Saccharomyces cerevisiae S288C: one gene and its partners. The gene in region 2 interacts genetically with the main gene of each other region. Each region holds a gene or a part of one and is shown on either strand. Other genes may lie near its edges.

Region 1 (6,421 bases), on a different chromosome or scaffold from region 2:
TACCAGATACGTGCTAATGAACTTTTTCAAAGATGCATTCACAGGAGGTGCATTCATGTACCCGTTCAAAGGGTTTTTAGAGTTCAACACCAATAAGAGCAGTTACTCAACGACTATGTTAGGTATATTATCGAGTTACTTGATAATGTTTGCCCTGGTAAGCTTTGTGTATTGGGCTACAATTACGCCAATGTACACAGCTTTTTTGATTGTGCTGGGCCCTATTGGGCTTTTCATTGCCATTTTTCATTCCTTTTTGCAAGCAAATGTTTTCACTTTATTGTTTATGAGACTCAGTCATTTTAATAATCATTTAGTGGAGGTGTGCTTAGAGAAGAATGGTTTAGAGGAGAATTTGAGTGAAGTCAAACCAATCAAGTACTATGCACCTATTAACTCGATATATTTCTGGGCTTACTATTTCCCATTCAAGTTGGTCAAGTACATGTTAGGCCTGTCGGTTCTTTTTGTGCTGTTGGTTATATCTTTTTTCCCACTTATTGGACCAATCCTTTTTCATATTTTAATTTCTCCTTTCATCACTCAAATTTACTTCACGAAAGTTTTACGTTTACAAAATTTCGACAACATACAAAGACGTGAAAATATTTATCTCCACGCTGGCCAATATGCCTCATTTGGTTTCTTGGCCGGTTTGATTGAGTCCGTGCCCATTTTAGCGGGCTTTGCCATTTCTACAAATACTATTGGTAGCGTTTTATTTAACCTTGATCATCCAATGGTCCCTGAAAATTTAGTAGAAACTCAAGCTGAAATTGAAGCAGCACCACAAGATATCAATCAACAACCGAATCAATAAATTGAAAAAAGTTCACCATTTCTCTCCCCAGATTAAAATTACCTAGCTATACATACTAACCTATGTATATATACACATATATGTATATTATACTCTAGAAAATATTTTTACCGTTCTAAATTTCTTTGTCCTTTGTTCTATCAACTCTCTTTTTCCACATGGTGCGTTCACGCAGAAGAAAATAAATATGTTATTTTTTTGGTTTATTTTCTGCTTATCTATTTACTTTTTTACTATATTTTTATTTATTTATTCTTTGGTTCCCTTCGGTTTCGAGTTTTCATCATAAATTATATCCTCCAACATATCACTAACTTTACTTTCCAACACATCTTGAGATTTTTTATCTTCACTGATATACGAATCTAAAGCTAGTTTATTTTTGGCCAGTTGATGAATCTTTTCCTCTATGGAATCCTTAGTAATTAAAGTGGTTATATTAACTTCCTTTGTTTGTCCCACACGATGTGCCCTATCAGCAGCTTGTCTGTCATCATGTGGGTTAAAACTTTGATCGAATATAATAACATTATTTGCGCACACCAAATTAATACCGAATCCACCTGCCTTTGTTGATAAGATGAAAATGGGAATATCCTTATCTTCATAAAACTTATCTATTAGTAGTTGTCTATCATTCACTTGCGTGGAACCATCTAATCTTAAAAATTTATAATCTAAGGTGGACAAAACCATCTCTAGAATATCCAGGACTTGAGTGAATAAGGAAAATATCAGCACCTTTTCCTGTTTGTCAACAATGATTGTTTTCAGCAATTTTTTCAAAGCGTCTATCTTCCCAGATTGCATCCACTCGTCATTATGAAGTTGGTATTTGGATAACGTGTTCGGGAAATTGCAGCATAGTTTGTGCAACTCAAAATCCGTCATATAGCTCATATCTTCCTTAATATACTCTTTGTTACCGTTTTCAGCATAAGCAGGTTCATCCAATATGGCATCACTCATTTTAGTGATGATTTTATCATTATAGATATTTCTGAACAAAAGTGGATGCAGAGAGGCCTTTCGCAATGCCATTATTAAATTTTTGGAACTTGAAGATTGTAATTTAGACTTTTCTTTTGCATCTTTTGGCAATTCGCCATCTTTAATCATTCTCTTATGTTCTAACACGATTTGTATTTCCTTATCATATATTTTTTTTTGTATTGCGTTCAATTCACAATACTGAATATGCGTGTGCTTTGGTGGCAAATGTTTCAACACTTGATCCTTACGTCTTCTCAAAATAAATGGCTTCATCATCGTTTTAGCTCTTGTAATGGCTTCTTGCGCTAATAGCGGGTTGTGATTTTTGTTATCGTCTGTGGTCTTGGCACGTTGTTTGAAGATTGCGTCAAATGATTCCTTTTTGGAAATGAAAAGATTTGGCATGATAAATTCCAACAGCGACATTAGTTCCTTCAAGTTATTTTGTAATGGCGTACCAGTTAATAAAAGGCGGAAATTGGCACGAATTTTCATCAGTTTGGCAAATCTCTCTGAAGTGGAATTTTTCAACATATGACCTTCATCATAAACCACAACATTGAAGTTTCTATTTTTCAAAAACGAAACGTCGTATTTATTACCTGCAGCCAAGTTATACGTGGTCACGATAACATCATATTTCCCAGCGTTCCTTTCCAGGATATCACGCAATTCTTCCCTTTCTTGTAAAGAGCCATAGTAGGGTTCAATCTTCAAAGCAGGTGCGAATTTCTGGAACTCCCTTAACCAATTTTCTAGCGTCGATGATGGCACAACAACCAAGTGAGGACCCGGTTCGTTTATTTGTTTCAAATATGCGAAAAATGAAATGACTTGACATGTTTTACCTAGACCCATGTCGTCTGCAAGGATACATGACATCTTGTTTTGGTATAGCAGATTCAACCAGTTTATACCCGTTTGTTGGTAGTCTTTTAGTGAAATTTCCGGGCTTAACAGTCTGGGTTTGCCCTTGAAGAACTTGACAATAGGTTTACGGCCATTTCTGCTCGTGGTGGAGATCACGTGTGTGTTTTTTCTGGTAGCGACAAATTCATCGTCATCATCGTCATCATCGTCACCATCATCATATTCCACATCTTCTTCCTCATCGTTATAGTCTTCGTCCTCCTCTTCATAGTCATCATCTTCATGCTCAGACTGCGGCAATTCGTCATCGATTGCCTCCAAATCTACATCGTCATCTTCATCTTCGACCACTTTTGGCTTAGTTGTGTTTCTAATTCGTTTTGTTTCTCTTTCCACTGGTGCTGGTGCTGGTGCTGGAGTAGGTTCTGCGCTAGTTTCATCAAAACCTTCCACTACGGCCTTTGTATCTTCTTTTTCCTTGCTAGTGGCGTCTGCGCCAGCGGTATTGTTATTGTTGCTATTATTATTATCGTTATTGCCATCATCATTGTCGTCGTCATCGTCTTCCCCAAGGTTCATCAGGTCCAACTCAGAGTTATCGCCTTCCACTTGCACACCCCATTTCTTCATTTGCGAAGTGACCAAATCACCGTAGGAAGAACATTTCTTGATCACAGACTCAATTGCATTGTAACCTCTTATACTTTGGGTGATTTTATCGAGCAGCCTCTCACTCTCATTGGCGGATGCAGCCGCACGTCTTTTTCTCTTGTTCGATGCGTTCTCCTCAGTGTCCTTATCATTGAAATTTGTGTTTACAAAGGCATTTAAAGAAGAATATGGCCTATGTGAGGCTATGAGTTGAGCCTTATGCATCGTGGTATCTGAGAGGTCCGAGAGATCGACAATATCAGAGTCATTAATAAACTGTAAAACTTGTTCATCCAGATTTATCTGCGGCGTGGATTCTGTGTAGTCGTCGCCACTTGCATCGTCATCGTCCGTCATCATACTCTCTTCCTCCTCTTCATCGTTGTCGTTTGCATGACGACCGTATTTGCGGTTCGCCAGTAGTTTCTCTCTTGCAGAACCTAATTGTGTAGCGGATGACTCATAAGACTTGCCAATTGGATGCTGATCTGCCCTTACCAGCCTTCTCTTTTTGTTGTAGTTCACGGGCAACTTGCTCAGTGCCTCCGAGTCTATATTCAAGTTAGTTGGCAGCTCAAAAGTGTATTGTTTCTGGTTGATGACGTTTGAGTAACGGTCAAAAATGGACGTTTTCTGTTTGGCCACGGTAATCTTGGAGGATTTGTTGTTGATATTGCCATGGATAGATGATAAACGGCCTGTGTTTGCCAGTGGTAATGACTTCTTGACAGGTGGCGGGGTTTCTGACTTCTTGGGAGATGCGTTCTTGTTCCATGTCCAATTTTGTCTTTGCTGCCTCAATCTTGTAAGACGTTCCCTGGCAGACTGTAAGTTAAAAGAGTTAGATTTGAAAACAGCCTGCACCAGAGTTTGAGAGAAATCGGGGAACTCTCTCGCAAGGTTAACCAGTGCTACCTCAGGACTCCCAGATGGGAGCGGCTTCGAAGTATGAGCTCCTTCGCTGGGATCTGAAGGCTTGAAAGTAAACCTGCTTCTCAAAGACGCCACACTTGCATCCGGAACTGTTGGCGAAGTAGGCTTTAAGGGAGACGACGATGCTACCTTGGTGGGAGAGGACGTCTCGGGCACTTGCACTACGTCATCCTCATCATTTGAATGCGAACCACTCATGTTTTCAACTATAGCGTATTTTCTCTCTTTTTCTTGTTTACGTTCCTTACTGTAGATAGTCGGGTGTCCACCAGTAGCAACAAACTCGAATATAGAGCACTATAGCACACGCCAGTACTGATTTAAGTTACGTGTTGCATTGCGAGATGGGCTCATGATCTCTTTTAATCCTACAAAGTGAAAAATTATGAAAAATTTCGCGGCGACGGGGGTAACGCAGCCGTTTGAGCCTTGATAATGCAGGCAGATCCAAAGCGCAAGTGATGGAATGTGATCATTAAAGGCTATAACAGGCTTGTATCGATGAGTTGTGTGTATGCGTTTGGGTCTAATGGGCAAAGGCAACTGGGACTGGGGCACGATGAGGATATGGATACCCCACAGAGGTCTGTGCCAGGAGATGATGGAGCAATAGTCAGGAAGATAGCGTGCGGTGGGAACCACAGCGTGATGCTGACAAATGACGGGAATCTGGTAGGATGTGGAGATAACAGACGGGGAGAACTGGATAGTGCGCAAGCACTGCGGCAGGTGCATGACTGGAGGCCCGTGGAAGTACCGGCACCCGTGGTGGATGTGGCGTGCGGCTGGGACACGACAGTTATTGTGGATGCTGATGGCCGTGTATGGCAGAGAGGAGGCGGTTGCTACGAGTTCACTCAGCAACATGTGCCATTGAATTCCAACGATGAGCGCATCGCAGTATACGGATGTTTCCAGAACTTTGTGGTGGTGCAAGGCACCCGAGTATACGGCTGGGGCAGCAACACAAAGTGTCAATTGCAAGAGCCCAAATCCCGATCACTGAAAGAGCCCGTATTGGTGTACGATACCGGGTCTGTGGCCGTAGACTACGTGGCCATGGGCAAGGACTTCATGGTCATAGTGGACGAGGGCGGCCGCATAGTGCACGCATCCGGTCGCCTGCCCACTGGGTTCGAGCTCAAACAACAGCAAAAAAGACACAATCTAGTGGTACTGTGCATGTGGACCTCGATCCACCTGTGGAATGCGCGCCTCAATACGGTAGAGTCGTTTGGTAGGGGCACACATTCCCAACTCTTCCCGCAAGAGCGCCTAGACTTCCCTATTGTCGGTGTTGCAACCGGGAGTGAGCACGGTATTCTAACTACTGCTAATCAAGAAGGCAAGTCTCACTGTTACAATGTATACTGCTGGGGCTGGGGAGAGCATGGCAACTGCGGCCCGCAAAAGGGCTCCCAGCCTGGACTGCAGCTCGTGGGCCAATACTCTGGAAAACCTCGCGTGTTTGGCGGATGTGCCACCACGTGGATCGTGCTCTAGCACTGATAAGTAACTATATACCCACTATCATATACATAGATGTCCATTCAGCATTAATTCTCATCGTGGTAGATCTCAAAGGTAAAGTAGCCGTTTAGGCCTTTTGTTATCGCCCGTACTTGCGAAAAACGGGCCAACAACGAAAAAATTTGAAAAAGTTTCCACCTTAGAGAAGGTTCTCAAGCACAAGGGCACAGCATAAGGGACACCAGCAAGGGAACTCCGACTGACGTTATCCCTGCAAACTACCGCTAATGAACGACCCTTCTTTACTAGGCTACCCTAATGTGGGCCCGCAGCAGCAACAGCAACAGCAGCAACAGCAGCATGCCGGGCTACTAGGAAAGGGTACACCAAACGCTCTACAGCAGCAGCTACACATGAACCAGCTCACCGGGATACCTCCACCGGGACTCATGAACAACAGCGATGTACACACTTCCAGCAACAACAACTCGCGCCAGTTGCTCGACCAATTGGCTAATGGGAACGCGAACATGCTCAATATGAACATGGATAACAACAATAACAACAATAACAACAACAACAACAACAACAACAACGGCGGTGGAAGCGGGGTGATGATGAATGCCTCCACAGCCGCAGTAAATTCTATAGGGATGGTTCCTACCGTTGGTACGCCTGTGAACA
Region 2 (4,251 bases):
TTTGTCTGCCATTCCAGATATAAGTATTAGGCCTTTATTATTCAATGCTTTTATGGAAACAACAGATTTTAGGGAATTTCTGATAGGTTGATTTCGACTTTCTGATGTCATACCGTTGGTCTTGGAGTACTGTAATGTCATGTTTGTAATATTAGTGAAGACTATTGCCATTGAATCACCATTTCTGTAACCTAAATAAAACACACCGGTGTTCGTTTTTTTTAAAGGTGATAAAGCATCTTCTTGTAGACAAAATGATAGGGAAGTAATGTCACTCCTACTTTTGTGTTTTCTTGAGCTTTTGGCAGGAGAAAAGATATAGGGATTTGGAAAGGTTTCTGGAATCAAATCATAAAAATGACAACGATAATTTACGGTAATAATCAACGTGTCTCCAACAACAAGAGAATCATGGACTTGGCAATTTTCTTTGAGTTTGACCTGACGAATTTTGAGCAGTTTTAAGGAAGAAAAGTCTTGTAAAAAGATGGCAAAAGTATGCACGTTAGATCTGGTATTAACGTTGTGATAAAAATAATGGCTCGGCCCTTCCTTGATGGCAACTGTTCTCTCAAGTTTCATTGTTTTGAACACATCAGTTGGCTCGGACTTATATTTCAACATAGGATTTAATTCAGCCATGGAAAACCCCGTAAAGAAATTTTCTTCAGAAAAATTATCCAGGGATGAAAATCCTGCGACATAGCCCTTGTTTGTTGCAAATACTAATTTACTATGAAAACATCCTTCTTGAGTTACCAATAAAATACAATTTGCTAATACTCCTATCTGTATCCTGTGTGGAAAATTGAGTGATTTTACGTTAGCAGAACTATGTGAGTGATGACCTTCAGTGAGAGAATGCGATGCATACTGCATATTTAAACCAATCATGTACTTTTCATATGATAAAGGGCGAAAAGCCCTTTCCAACGGATTCAGAAGACTAAGCTTGTACTTTTGTAATGTTTGCTGACGTTTTTTTTTAATCATAGAAAATTTTTTATCGTAATTTTCCTCAACACATTGTCGCTTTATATTATCTTTTCTGTACTGGTTCGTCGTTCCCGTGGTAGAAATGCTTTGATTTTCAGATATGCGAAAATAACGTCGACGTTCTCTATCATAATAAAACCCTGGTAAGTTAGGTGTCATTTGTTTAACGTCCGTTAACTTCCCCTTTCTGCTTTACCAACTGCTGCTTATTTATTCGCCCTTTTTTGTTTTCCATTGTTGTTCATCTCATTGCCTTTTTTTATTTTTCAGTTTTTCCCATATGCCAACGAGGAAAAAAGCCCTTTCAACCATACCAAAAAAAATGTATTTGAAGTAATGAATAAAGAATGATGATCGCTGGCGTTTAACATCTAGCATATATCTGCAATAATTTATCACTCCAGAAGAAACATCCATCGTCAACAATTTGATTTAATTGTTCTCTTTTGAATACATATTCTCTCTCGTACGGTGGGATCTTGTTATTGCTTGCCATTAAAAACCTATATTTTGTCTTTCTTCTGATGATTTCCTGGGATTTCTTTTTGTCCTCGTTCCCTTCCTGAGTGGAGGGAAAATCCAGTCTTCCAAAACCTGGGGGGGATTTTGATCTATTCCTCAAGTTATCAAACGCAAATTCGTAGTCCGAATTTTGCGATTCTATAACTACTGACAATGATCTGTGTTTAGAATCCTCTGGCTTTCCAACTTGGGCATAAAATCGCTCCAATTTTCTTCTTCCTCTCTTAACCGGGGCGATATCTTCATTTGGTCTAAAGTCTTCGAGAATCCAGGCTCGCTTTGTTAAAGGGTTCGTATTGAAGTCAAACAGGAAATTATCCTTAACATTTTTGTATAAATTTGGCGATGTAGATTCAGGGTTCTCGAGCTCTATTCCCAATAGTTTTCTTGTTTTGTTCTCTTTATCATTATCTTTTTCGTGGATTACAGTATCAGAGCAATCTTCCAAATCGCTTAAGTTGTTGAGGCCATTTAAAGGCGAACTAAACTCCGAAATTTTCCGTTTATGCCTATTAGGTGGCATAGTAACCAGCGGTAACTGCACAGTGTGTTTATTTTCATTACGATAGTGAACCTCTGCTGATTCTTTCTTTATGTCCTCATCAAACTGAGTAAGGATGAAATCTTCAGAATCTTGCTCACCTGGCCCCGCAGACGTCTGAGAGGATTGTTGAGGAGCATTTTTTTCGTGACATAGAATTTCAGCCAGTTTACTGTTAGGTTCTTCGAGAACACATTTATTCCGATTTTGCAGTGCTTGAACACGTTTCGCGATTAAGGTAGTCACGTCATACTGCACATTTAGTAGTTCATCGAGACTGAGCTCCTTGAGAATGGATAAGCTTGACTTTAGATACACATTTTCTTCACCAGTCACCATCTCACATACAAACACCTAATGGCTTACAGCATGGATGGAAATGCAGGTATGTGAACGATAACAATGTTTGCAAACGTAAACAAAAAAGGTATTAAAGCTTAAAAGCTTTTTTTTTGTAGAACGCGCTTAGAAAATGGCATAAAGAAAATGGCTATTTGACTTGATTTTGAAAGTTGTTCTCAAGACTCGAATGGTGGAAGATAACAACAGGACGTTTATTACATGGCATTGCATCAGTATTTATCAGAGACTTATGGGCCCACGAAACCCAAAAATAAGACGAAAAAGAAGAAGAAAGAGTCAAAATCAGACGCTAACTCAGACAAAACTTCTTTGATAGTAAAAGAACGGCTAAGTACACTGCAACAAGAACAGGAGAAGTCAGGAGTTGCTTCATTCAGCAAGTTTGACAAACAAAAAAGCAAGAATATATGGAAGAACCTGGAAACAAACGAGCTTTCCCATGCAATAACACATCCTTCCGCATCGTCAATTACTGGCAACGAAAGCAAGAACGATCTAAAGGAAATCAGGGCTCAAGAGCCACTTGTCACAGTAGCAGACAAATCGAAAACACGAAAAACCATATACAGAGACGCTCAAGGTCACAAGATTCAGGAAGATTCCAAGATAGACGATTCTAGTTTTAGTCGATCTAAATATGAAGATGAGAAAGCCGCGGAAAGAGAGCAATACCTGAAAAATTTGAATATGGGAGACGTGCAAAAGCTTGGAATAAATGTAGATGCACATGATAAGAAGAAAAATCAAACTGCCTCGAGTCTGACGATAGAAGACCCTGCAATAACATTTACACATGACAAAGAAAGAACTGTAAAAACATCTTTACTGGGCCGCAAGCTTTATGATAAGCCAGCACCTGAGAACAGGTTTGCCATTATGCCTGGGTCAAGATGGGACGGTGTCCACAGATCAAATGGCTTTGAAGAAAAATGGTTTGCTAAGCAAAATGAGATCAATGAGAAGAAAGTGCAAAGCTACACCCTACAGGAGGATTATTGAAAATGAGATAATATATAACTATGCGGAAAGCTTTGTGTAAAAAATACCCTTTGACAATCCCCATTTGTTATAAGCTTTTTCTTAACAAGATCAACGATTAAATACAAATACCCCTCTTTATATAGGTCTCAGATATACTATTAAAGTAACCTCGAATATACTTCGTTTTTAGTCGTATGTTCTAAGTAGATTCGTCTTTTTTATTATCACGGTCAGCAGCATTGCTTTGTGACTTTGGCGATTGACATTCAGTAGAGTTTGTGCCAGAAGAAGGTTTAATCTCGCCTTTCCTACTGTTCTTTGTTTCTCCCCCAATAGTTGAACCATTGCTGTGCTGTTTACCATTAATGAATTTTTTCAAATCTTGGCTTTCCTTTTCATTGACAACAATACGACTTCCTTGATCTGAAACATTTGTCATAGGAGGTGGAGGTGGGAAGGAAATCGGTTGTCCAAACCCATGTGGTGCTGGTGGCGGAATAGACATTCCATTCATATTAGGGTAAGGCATCTGGTGAGGGTGTAATGGGTGAAGACCATTAGGATGCGTCATAAAACCTGGGGGAATATTGTACGGCAAACCAACATCTGCAACATCATTCGCTCCAGGAATAGGACCCCCAACCACATTCATTGGGTGAGGTGGAGTTGGGATATTCAAATTACTGCCTATACCATCAGAATATTGATTTGCAACGGCATTGAAAATAGATCCAGCAACAGTTGGATTATCAAGCGGTGCTTTTTCAAAATTGGCCAAATCAACTTGCACGTTTTCACTGCTTTTCTGAGCTGGTCTTTTTAACAAAACTTTCTTTGCGGGTTTGGAA
Region 3 (3,806 bases), on a different chromosome or scaffold from region 2:
TTTCAATAGGGCTATCGTCACTGAAAAAGGCTTACGCTATAATAATGAGAATGGTTCCATGCCATCTAAAAAGGCTTTAATATCTATTTCTAAAGGTCACGGAACTTTGGGTCGTGATGCCACTTGGGATGAGTTCCCCAATGGTAGATTTGGTGACTCCAGGTCTCCCGCATATGGTGAAATAGACGGTTATGGGCCATCCATCAAGGTAAGCAAAAGCAAAGCGCTTGAACTATGGGGTATACCAAAGACAATTGGCGATTTAAAAGATATTTTTATAAAATATTTGGAAGGTTCAACGGATGCGATTCCCTGGTCTGACCTGGGTTTATCAGCTGAAACGGCGTTAATACAAGAAGAACTAATCCAACTAAACTATCGCGGATATTTGACTTTGGCATCGCAACCTGCCACAAATGCTACATTGAGTAGTGATAAAATATTCGGCTGGGGGCCCGCGAAAGGGAGGTTGTATCAGAAGGCATTCGTAGAAATGTTTATTCATAGACAGCAATGGGAAACAACTTTGAAACCCAAGCTAGACCATTACGGGCGTCGGAAATTCAGTTATTACGCGGGCGATTCATCTGGTTCATTTGAAACGAACCTAGACCCGCACAGCTCTAGCGTTGTAACATGGGGTGTTTTTCCCAACAGTCCGGTCAAACAGACTACAATCATTGAAGAAGAGTCATTCAAGGCATGGAGAGATGAAGCGTTTAGTATCTGGTCCGAGTGGGCCAAGTTATTTCCAAGGAACACCCCAGCCAATATTCTTCTAAGACTAGTGCATAAAGACTACTGTCTTGTCTCAATTGTTCATCACGACTTCAAAGAAACCGACGAGCTATGGGAAATGTTACTCGACCAAGCCTAATATTTCACTGAATATAAATACAAAAATGCGAAAATAATGTAATATTTAACGTATACATAACGGGCAGAACGCCCTTCTAAGAAGAAGAGGCATATGCTAATCATTGGCTTTCCTTTTCTTGGAGCCGCCATTTACAAGTTGTTTGTCACGTTGTAATTTAGATTCCAAATAATCACAAAATTTCTGATCTCTATTTTCATTCCAAACTCTATTAATGCCGCCGAGAAAAATGACTTGTGAGTCCTTCAATATGAAAACGCCCCTATTGAACACAGTTCCCGGCAGTATCACAATTTTAGAACCCAGCATGCAAGAGCTCCAAGATATTGGAGTCGAGTTGATAGCAAAAAAAACGTCGCCCGACTTACTTTGTAGTGTCAATTTAAACACTGCTTTATTCTTGGCGGCACTGCTATTATTGTTGCTATTATTTTCCTTGGCGCAGTTGTTATCCGCCACATTCCCGTCATCTTCCATGTCCACTTGAGTGATGACCTCGTACTTCTTAGCGCCATTTCCTTGCGCGCCTGATCGTAGTCTATCCACTTTCTGTTTTTTCGGATCCAGCTTGGTTTTTATATCATCGATCTGTGTTAGCTTGGATTTGGTGATATTCTCTACCATCAACACCTGGAACAACAGTTCTCTGTCTACAATAACAAGTTTTTTATCTAAGATAAGATTCGAAGCAGTACCAGCCAACCAAGGTTCATTTTGGTAAGCTCTGAAAACAATCTGTTCTCTCGACCCCAAGGTGGCGGAATACGCTGGTGGTGTAATGTCATCTGTGATATCCTGTGATAAGATAGATGAAAAAGACATTCCATCCACTCGGTAGTATGTATGCTCTGCAGTATTTTGGCCTTCTTCTCAGTACTCCCTTTCTGTAAAGATTGTATGATTGGTTTATCTTTTTCCTTTTTCCTTTTCTTTTTTTTTTTTTTTTTTTTTTTCTTTTTTCTTAATAATTAGTTTCTCTTCACGCTACATGCTTTCTTGGCCCGTCCTGAGTGCAGTATCATAATTAATTTAGTAAATAAAGAAATAAACGAAGATGGACCCTCAGAGCAAACAGCCAAGACCGCTTGCATTGCAAAGTAATCTATTATTGTGCGCTGGGCCGCGGATGCCGCGGATAATAAATAGCCGGACCTGTCAAGAGGACGATAGCGGATGCGCTGGGAAGAGCTGTACTCTATGTACACATATGTATTGGTTGGAGCATATGTGCCTACATAATATGTCTAGTTGGCTCAAGCCCGTCAACTAATTAGTCTGAATGTATGGAGGCTTCTGCTGGCTCTAGCGATGTCGTCGTATTTACGTCACTGTAGTTCTCGACTCCCCGGAAAAACCTGTTCGCGTGAGCGGAACAACTTTCCATTGAGGCTTAGTGGAGGTATTTCCGGAGAGGGCATTCATCCCGGATTTCCTATTAGAATGGTGCAGTACGCCGCCCTCGCGCTCTCTACATGCTGTTTTAGCGCGCGTGATATGGACATAGATGCACCACGCGGTGTTTCTTTTCTAGGCATCAAGTGGCTTGCAGCCAATCAAACACGAGGAATGTGGGATGGAAGTACAATCTCCTCACCGCACACCCACGTTTTCCGGGACATTTCTCGGACAGACTCTTTTTTTCTTTTTTTTTTTTTTTTTGCTTCCCACGAAATCGGAACTTATCTATCAGCCGAAGAAAGCGCGTTGGACAGATACTTGAGCAGATTTTGTGGGGAGAGAGAATCTTGGGACAAATGCAAAAAAGAAATGGTCGGAACAAAAGGGCAGTATACAGGGCCGGCAGTACCTTCTGTTCCTACCACAAACCTTAACGATATCGGTGACCCTACTAAAACTGTGCAATAGATATTCCGGACCCACATCATTGCGGTGTTTTCTGAGTCCGCACTCACGGGACGAAGACGAAGAAAGACAAGAGCCTACAAATGACTATAGCGTTTTCTTTTTCCTTTTTATGCTCTTGCTACCTTTTTCGCATGAGAGGACATTCTTAAGGCGTATATTCTTATATATTATACAAAATATATTTAGTAAATTGTTAAATTTACTTATTGACTTAAATCGCCCTAGCGGAAACAAAACTCTTTAAAAGAAAACATCAAATAAGAACACAGACAAGAAATTTTGTGTACAAATGCTGTCAGACTGCTTGCTGAACAATTTCAGAATAACGGCTCAAATAGGGTCGGGTGCGTATGGACTAGTGTTCCATGTGGTGGATATACTGACGAGCCGTGAATATGCAGTGAAAACGGTCTTCAAATCCTCCTCGATGGATGAGTTTTATAATAAGAACGGTTTGAACAACAACTCTCAAGTGGCGCGAACCACTCTTCTGCAAACGCAACTGTATCATTTTTTCAAAAGTTTCCAAAAAAAATTGTTCTTACCTTCCGTTGATCTAGACTCGATATTACAGTTGACTGAGAATGAACTAAATAGGCTACCACACTACAGGGAGATTGCCTTCCAACTAAGAGTGCAGTCTCACGGCAATATCGTGAAGATTCACCAAGTTTTAGAATCTTCTATTGCCACTTTTATAGTGATGGATTATTACGACAGGGACCTTTTCACCTCGATAGTTGACGATAAGCATTTTGTAAATCATGGTATTTTGATTAAGAAAGTTTTTCTGCAGCTTTGCTCCGCATTAGATCACTGTCATCGTCTCGGTATATATCATTGTGATATCAAACCTGAAAATGTCCTACTGGATCGCAATGACAACGCTTATCTTTGCGATTTCGGGCTTTCCACTAAATCTAAATATCTAGCTCCAAATGTGTGCGTTGGCAGTTCATATTATATGGCTCCAGAAAGAATATTGTATTGTTTGAATACCACCACCAACGGCATACACGTCGACGAATGCTGTTCGAGCCTCCCTACGGATACAGGAGATATA
Region 4 (5,291 bases), on a different chromosome or scaffold from region 2:
CGCCGCTATTCGAGAAAGATCCTCACACTGGAAAGATTAAAGAGTGGGGGGCAACAAATTTACATTTATCAAACATGAAATTCATGGACGGATCTGTAGATAATGACATGCCCATTTCTCGTCTTTCTGAAATGTTCAATGTCGACCACATTATCGCCTGCCAGGTAAATATACATGTCTTTCCCCTGTTAAAGTTTTCAAACACTTGCGTTGGGGGTGAAATTGAAAAGGAAATTACCGCCCGTTTCAGAAACCAAGTAACAAAGATCTTCAAATTTTTTTCCGACGAAACTATTCATTTTTTAGACATCCTAAAGGAGCTTGAGTTCCATCCCTATTTGATGACCAAATTGAAACACCTTTTTTTACAACAATACTCTGGCAATGTCACAATTTTACCCGATCTATCAATGGTTGGTCAATTCCACGAAGTATTGAAGAACCCATCTCAACTTTTCCTATTGCACCAAACTACTTTAGGTGCAAGAGCTACTTGGCCGAAAATTTCCATGATTCAAAATAACTGTGGCCAAGAATTCGCCTTGGATAAGGCCATCACATTCCTAAAGGAGAAAATAATAATCTCTTCGTCAATAAAAAACCCTTTACAATTCTACCAACCTCGATTCAGTGAGCAAATCAAATCTCTTTCCATAATGGATGCTGACTTGCCGGGAGTTGACTTGGAAGAATCCTCCTCCAATTCACTATCAATTATCAAGTCTCCCAACAAAACAGCGGCACCGGGAAGATTTCCTCTTCAGCCATTGCCTTCTCCATCTTCTACCTTCAACAAGAGGAAAATGGATATGTTATCGCCTTCTCCATCGCCTTCTACATCTCCACAACGTTCAAAATCTTCATTCACGCAGCAGGGTACAAGGCAGAAGGCAAATTCTTTATCGTTTGCCATCGGTGCATCTAGTTTACGGCTAAAGAAATCACCATTGAAGGTTCCATCACGACCTCAATTCAAAAAAAGATCTTCTTATTATAATCAAAATATGTCGGCAGAGATGAGGAAAAATAGAAAAAAATCTGGAACAATTTCCTCTTATGATGTTCAAACAAACTCAGAAGATTTTCCCATACCGGCTATTGAAAACGGTTCATTTGATAACACTTTATTCAATCCAAGCAGGTTCCCCATGGACGCTATGTCGGCTGCCACAAACGACAATTTCATGAACAATTCAGACATTTTTCAAAATTGAAATGAAAGACAATAAGTACATTTTTATATAAAAAGCTTTCTATATTCTCACCTCCATCAACTCCAAAAGGTACATGCCATTTTGTTATATTAAATATTCTAAGAATTTTCCGAAGGATACTGCATTATCATCAGTGATTTATTAATCTATGAGTATGAATATGAATTAATTCCAAATTTTCTCCATACATCTCTTTCATAAACACAATCCACTTGAGTAACTAAGTTCTGCGCTCGGATCATATTAACTGTGATATGAGACACTTGGGAACATCCGTCAATATTTAAATATGCCAGTGGTTGACCTCCCGCTTCGTTGTCATGATCCATCTGAAATTTTTTTAGAAATTCATATATTGATATTCCTGTAATTTCAAAATTGTGCGAAATGTCAAGCCTCTTTAAATTTTCCAAAAATGGTACATTAATAATGAATGACTTCATCGTACTATCATTCAAGGAGCTGAGATGCGATAAATTTATTTCTTCCAACTTGGAGAGTCTCTTCAAAACTGCATTCACATCCAGTATCATCCTTGCTGTATGAGCGTGATTATTTGGGAACTGGATGTTGGGGCAATTCCCAATGTTTAAACTTCTTAATTTCCGACCATCCAAGTATTCCTGCTCGCATAATCTAGTCAACGCAGAACCACTTATCGATGTCCCCATTAGATCCAACTTTTCCAGGTTTTGGAGATTTTCCTTGTAAAATAGCATGGATGGCACCTCGTCGTCATTCGTAACAGGCTGATCTTCATCCAAATTAACAATTGGATATAGCTTGTTCTCTCTAAAGGTTAACTTTTCCAAGTTTTTCCAGACATTCGAAAATTTTAACAATTGCAAAAACTTACTGAGTTCACAGTTGTCGTTATCTTCTATCCATAGTTCTTTTAGGTCTGGGAAGTTCAATAGCCATTGAAAATTCATTATGTCTTGATTATTCATAGGAAATGTTACACCAGTTATCGTCAGTTTCTGCAATAGAGGAAACTGGCCTCTTAATAGAGCACGACAAAGTGGAAAATTCTTAATTTTCTTCTTATCACATATCAATGTTATCTTCTCTAGCTCACTATAAATCACCTTTTCTTCTACTATTCCCTGTTCATCATTATCCGCAGTGGATATCTGCATATTAGTATGACGGGCCATCACATTGAAACTTCCATCCCTCCCAACGCTATTATTTCCGTCGAAAATTGGTACCAGTGAATTGACAAAAATTAATTCTATTTTTTTCAACAGAGGACAAGTCTGCAGTATCTCCAATTCATGTTGTTTATCAGGCCTATAAGTTATCATGAGAGATAATTCCAGCAGCCTTGTAAAAAAATCTGTGCCTCCTCTAACCATTAACTTAAAGATTTGTGTTGTAGTTAGTGTTGGCATTGACAGTATAAGCCGTTCGATGTTTATACATTTCGGCATTTTACTGAATAATAATTGAGTTATTCGTAACTCTTCCGAAGTGATTCTAGAACTGACTTTTACTTGTGAAAGAATATATTTTCTATACGTCCTGGTGAAATTCTGTTGTAAAAAATCCATAAACTTTACAAAATTTTTAAAATTTATTGGTGCCAAGTTGAATTCTTGGAAGCAGTCTAAATGATACAAAATTTTGTCCCTCCATTTGTTACAAACTAGCGACAACGTAACAAGCTCCTTAGTGGTAAACCTTTGGAATATGATAGGTAGTATTTCTATCGGCAAATTGCCAACTAAATCAGTTTTCTTGGTACTACCTTTAATCTTCTTCTTTGGTAACGATTCTAGAACATTATTATTCTTTTTTTTTTTTGCTATTTTGGTCTCCTCTAATGGATCTATATAACTTCTCTTGCCGTCCTGTTTTTGAACCATGTTATTTTTAATGAATTGTTTTTGTTGTCTTAGATGATTGCTATCGTTATTGCATAATTGCAGTCCACGAGAACATGTTTTATATGCCCTTTTCCAGTCTTTTAATTTTATCAACGTCCTTGTACATCGTATATAGCATTTGATATTACCTGGTTCTAACTTAAGTAACCTTTGTGATACGTCCAAACAAGATTTCAAATCATTCAATTTTTCGTAGCACGCACAGATGTTATCCAATATCTTTATGTATCTAGGATGATATAATCGTTTGTTATCCGGTCTCGCAGTATCTAATTGATACGCGTTCCTAATGCGCATAATCTGCTCCTGAGAATAAGAATCACATACTCTCAAAGCATTTGTGAATATCCTTTTCGCTTGCAAATATTCTCCAGATTTAAAAAGCCTCGTTCCTAATTCAATTGCTTTCAGAACGGTAGAATCTATAGCCACGCCTGAATTCCCTGGGGAAGACATCGGGGTGTATTTTTTGTTCTTGGTAATAAATTTATACGACATGGCTAATCATTTTGCATGTCTATTTATAATATTTTTCGAGAAATAACTATAAAAAAATGACGAGAAACAGTTTAGCTGCATAAAAACTTCTCAAATAAGCGCGGTTTAAAGCTAGTGTTACCAAGACCGATAATAATGAAGTTTTTGGGTGTAATACTGCTAGCAAGTTTTCTTTTGATTGCTACCTTCCTCATAGGGCTTATCCCATTGTATTATATTGATAAACAAAAAAGTTCCATTGTCACAAACCAAGAAGGTGCTGACTCAATTTCTGATTTTACTACGAACGCAGATACTCAAACGATCAATGACGATGTTAGTAGTTACCGTGTGAAGATTGCCGTTCTATCACAATTCGGTATAGGAATGTTGTTAGGTACATCATTTATGTTGGTAATACCGGAAGGTATCAAAGCGTGTGTCGAACATGATGGAAACGTTGGTGTGAATTTATTAATTGGGTTTCTAGGTGTTTATGTTCTTGATAGGTTGGTTACACTATGGGTTTCTAGAAAGCAAACGGTCTATACGCATGATGCTGTCAAATTTCAAAGCTGGAAAGATATAATAAACCATCCAAGACAAATATGGATGAACTTAATACAAAACAATGTTGTCTTTGCCTTATTCATTCATGGACTATCTGATGGAATTGCATTAGGTACGACAACGAACAATGATTCACTGCTCATAGTGGTGTTAATTGCTATAGTTATTCATAAAATTCCTGCCGTTCTTTCCCTCACTAGTTTGATGGTATCGAGACAAAACTTAATGAAATGGGAGGTGATCTGTAACGTTTTCTTGTTTGCGTCATCGACTCCGATCGGATACATAGTGTTATCCCTTTTGAATCTGAGTCATTCGCCAACGATGGATTGGATAAGTGGAAATCTTCTGCTTATGAGTGGTGGCAGTTTACTATATGCGTCTTTCACAGCATTTGTTGGTGGAGATTCTCATGATCACGATCTCAGCGTTGAACAGGAAGTCGTTTTACCTCATGATGAATCCGTTTATGTTTTGATAGGTGTCTGCATACCGTTGGTGATATCGTACTGCATCTCTGAAGAATAACCTACCAAACTTCAGTATATATTCTCATTGTTTGATTATAGATAAATGAACATTATGATTAATTTTGTGATTGTACTATTATTTTATTATGTTGTATGCTATATATTACCCTTTATTCAAAGCCTTTCTATTTAGCCAACGGTCTTTTGAACGTATGATGGATGATTCTTTCTTTGGTGGTAATGTTTTAGAATCTTGTGTGGTGGATAACAATTGAACTCTAAATTTTCCTCTTTTCACCGAATCTTTCCTTAAATTTTTTAATGTCTTCCTTTTCTTAGTTTTTATAGCTTTAGCCAATGCCTCTTCATTTTCATCTGACTCATCCAATTTATCGAAAGTTACATGTCTTGAAGATGAGTACTGCGTACTACCTTCGTCCTTCTGATCTATATTTTTTAGCAATTCCTCAGGAAGCTCCGCAATTACTTCATCAGTGACCTCTGTCTCATTCACTGATTTCTTTTGCTTGGCGTATAATTCATTTTGCTTCCTTCTCTTGGACCGCAATTGTGATTGTTCCAGCCTTATAGCCTCCTCCCTCTGAGTGATCTGTGATTCTACCTCACTTTTCCCAGAGTGAAGCCCTTCTTCTTGTGGAGCATCATCATCA

What was found.
Region 1: mutations in SAE2 (region 2) and FUN30 impair growth when combined (synthetic growth defect), as found in Saccharomyces cerevisiae (3 studies listed by BioGRID, with this or other methods).
Region 3: mutations in SAE2 (region 2) and RMI1 together harm fitness more than expected from each alone (negative genetic interaction), as found in Saccharomyces cerevisiae (3 studies listed by BioGRID).
Region 4: mutations in SAE2 (region 2) and DIA2 together harm fitness more than expected from each alone (negative genetic interaction), as found in Saccharomyces cerevisiae (4 studies listed by BioGRID, with this or other methods).

The regions. Positions count from the first base shown.
Region 1 is NC_001133.9:112,963-119,383, reverse strand, and holds FUN30 (DNA-dependent ATPase FUN30), read right to left. Parts: upstream 4,466-6,421; coding exon 1,070-4,465; downstream 1-1,069. Other genes in the region: LDS1 (Lds1p), read left to right, coding at 1-820; ATS1 (Ats1p), read left to right, coding at 4,769-5,770; CCR4-NOT core exoribonuclease subunit CCR4, read left to right, coding at 6,025-6,421. UniProt on the Saccharomyces cerevisiae protein: DNA helicase that possesses intrinsic ATP-dependent nucleosome-remodeling activity and is both required for DNA repair and heterochromatin organization.
Region 2 is NC_001139.9:171,925-176,175, forward strand, and holds SAE2 (ssDNA endodeoxyribonuclease SAE2), read right to left. Parts: upstream 2,399-4,251; coding exon 1,361-2,398; downstream 1-1,360. Other genes in the region: YGL176C (uncharacterized protein), read right to left, coding at 1-1,155; BUD13 (Bud13p), read left to right, coding at 2,621-3,421; chromatin-binding exonuclease XRN1, read right to left, coding at 3,603-4,251. UniProt on the Saccharomyces cerevisiae protein: Endonuclease that cooperates with the MRX complex in processing meiotic and mitotic double-strand breaks by allowing the endonucleolytic removal of SPO11 from the break sites and ensuring both resection and intrachromosomal association of the broken ends.
Region 3 is NC_001148.4:501,410-505,215, reverse strand, and holds RMI1 (Rmi1p), read right to left. Parts: upstream 1,700-3,806; coding exon 974-1,699; downstream 1-973. Other genes in the region: methylenetetrahydrofolate reductase (NAD(P)H) MET12, read left to right, coding at 1-877; putative serine/threonine protein kinase SKS1, read left to right, coding at 3,033-3,806. UniProt on the Saccharomyces cerevisiae protein: Structure-specific DNA-binding protein with a preference for cruciform structures. Also binds single-stranded DNA (ssDNA). Functions together with SGS1 and TOP3 to maintain genome integrity. Essential for proper meiotic cell division.
Region 4 is NC_001147.6:472,862-478,152, reverse strand, and holds DIA2 (DNA-binding SCF ubiquitin ligase subunit DIA2), read right to left. Parts: upstream 3,560-5,291; coding exon 1,361-3,559; downstream 1-1,360. Other genes in the region: TGL5 (triacylglycerol lipase), read left to right, coding at 1-1,214; Mn(2+) transporter ATX2, read left to right, coding at 3,737-4,678; BUD21 (Bud21p), read right to left, coding at 4,784-5,291. UniProt on the Saccharomyces cerevisiae protein: F-box protein component of a SCF (SKP1-CUL1-F-box protein) E3 ubiquitin-protein ligase complex which mediates the ubiquitination and subsequent proteasomal degradation of target proteins. Probably recognizes and binds to phosphorylated target proteins.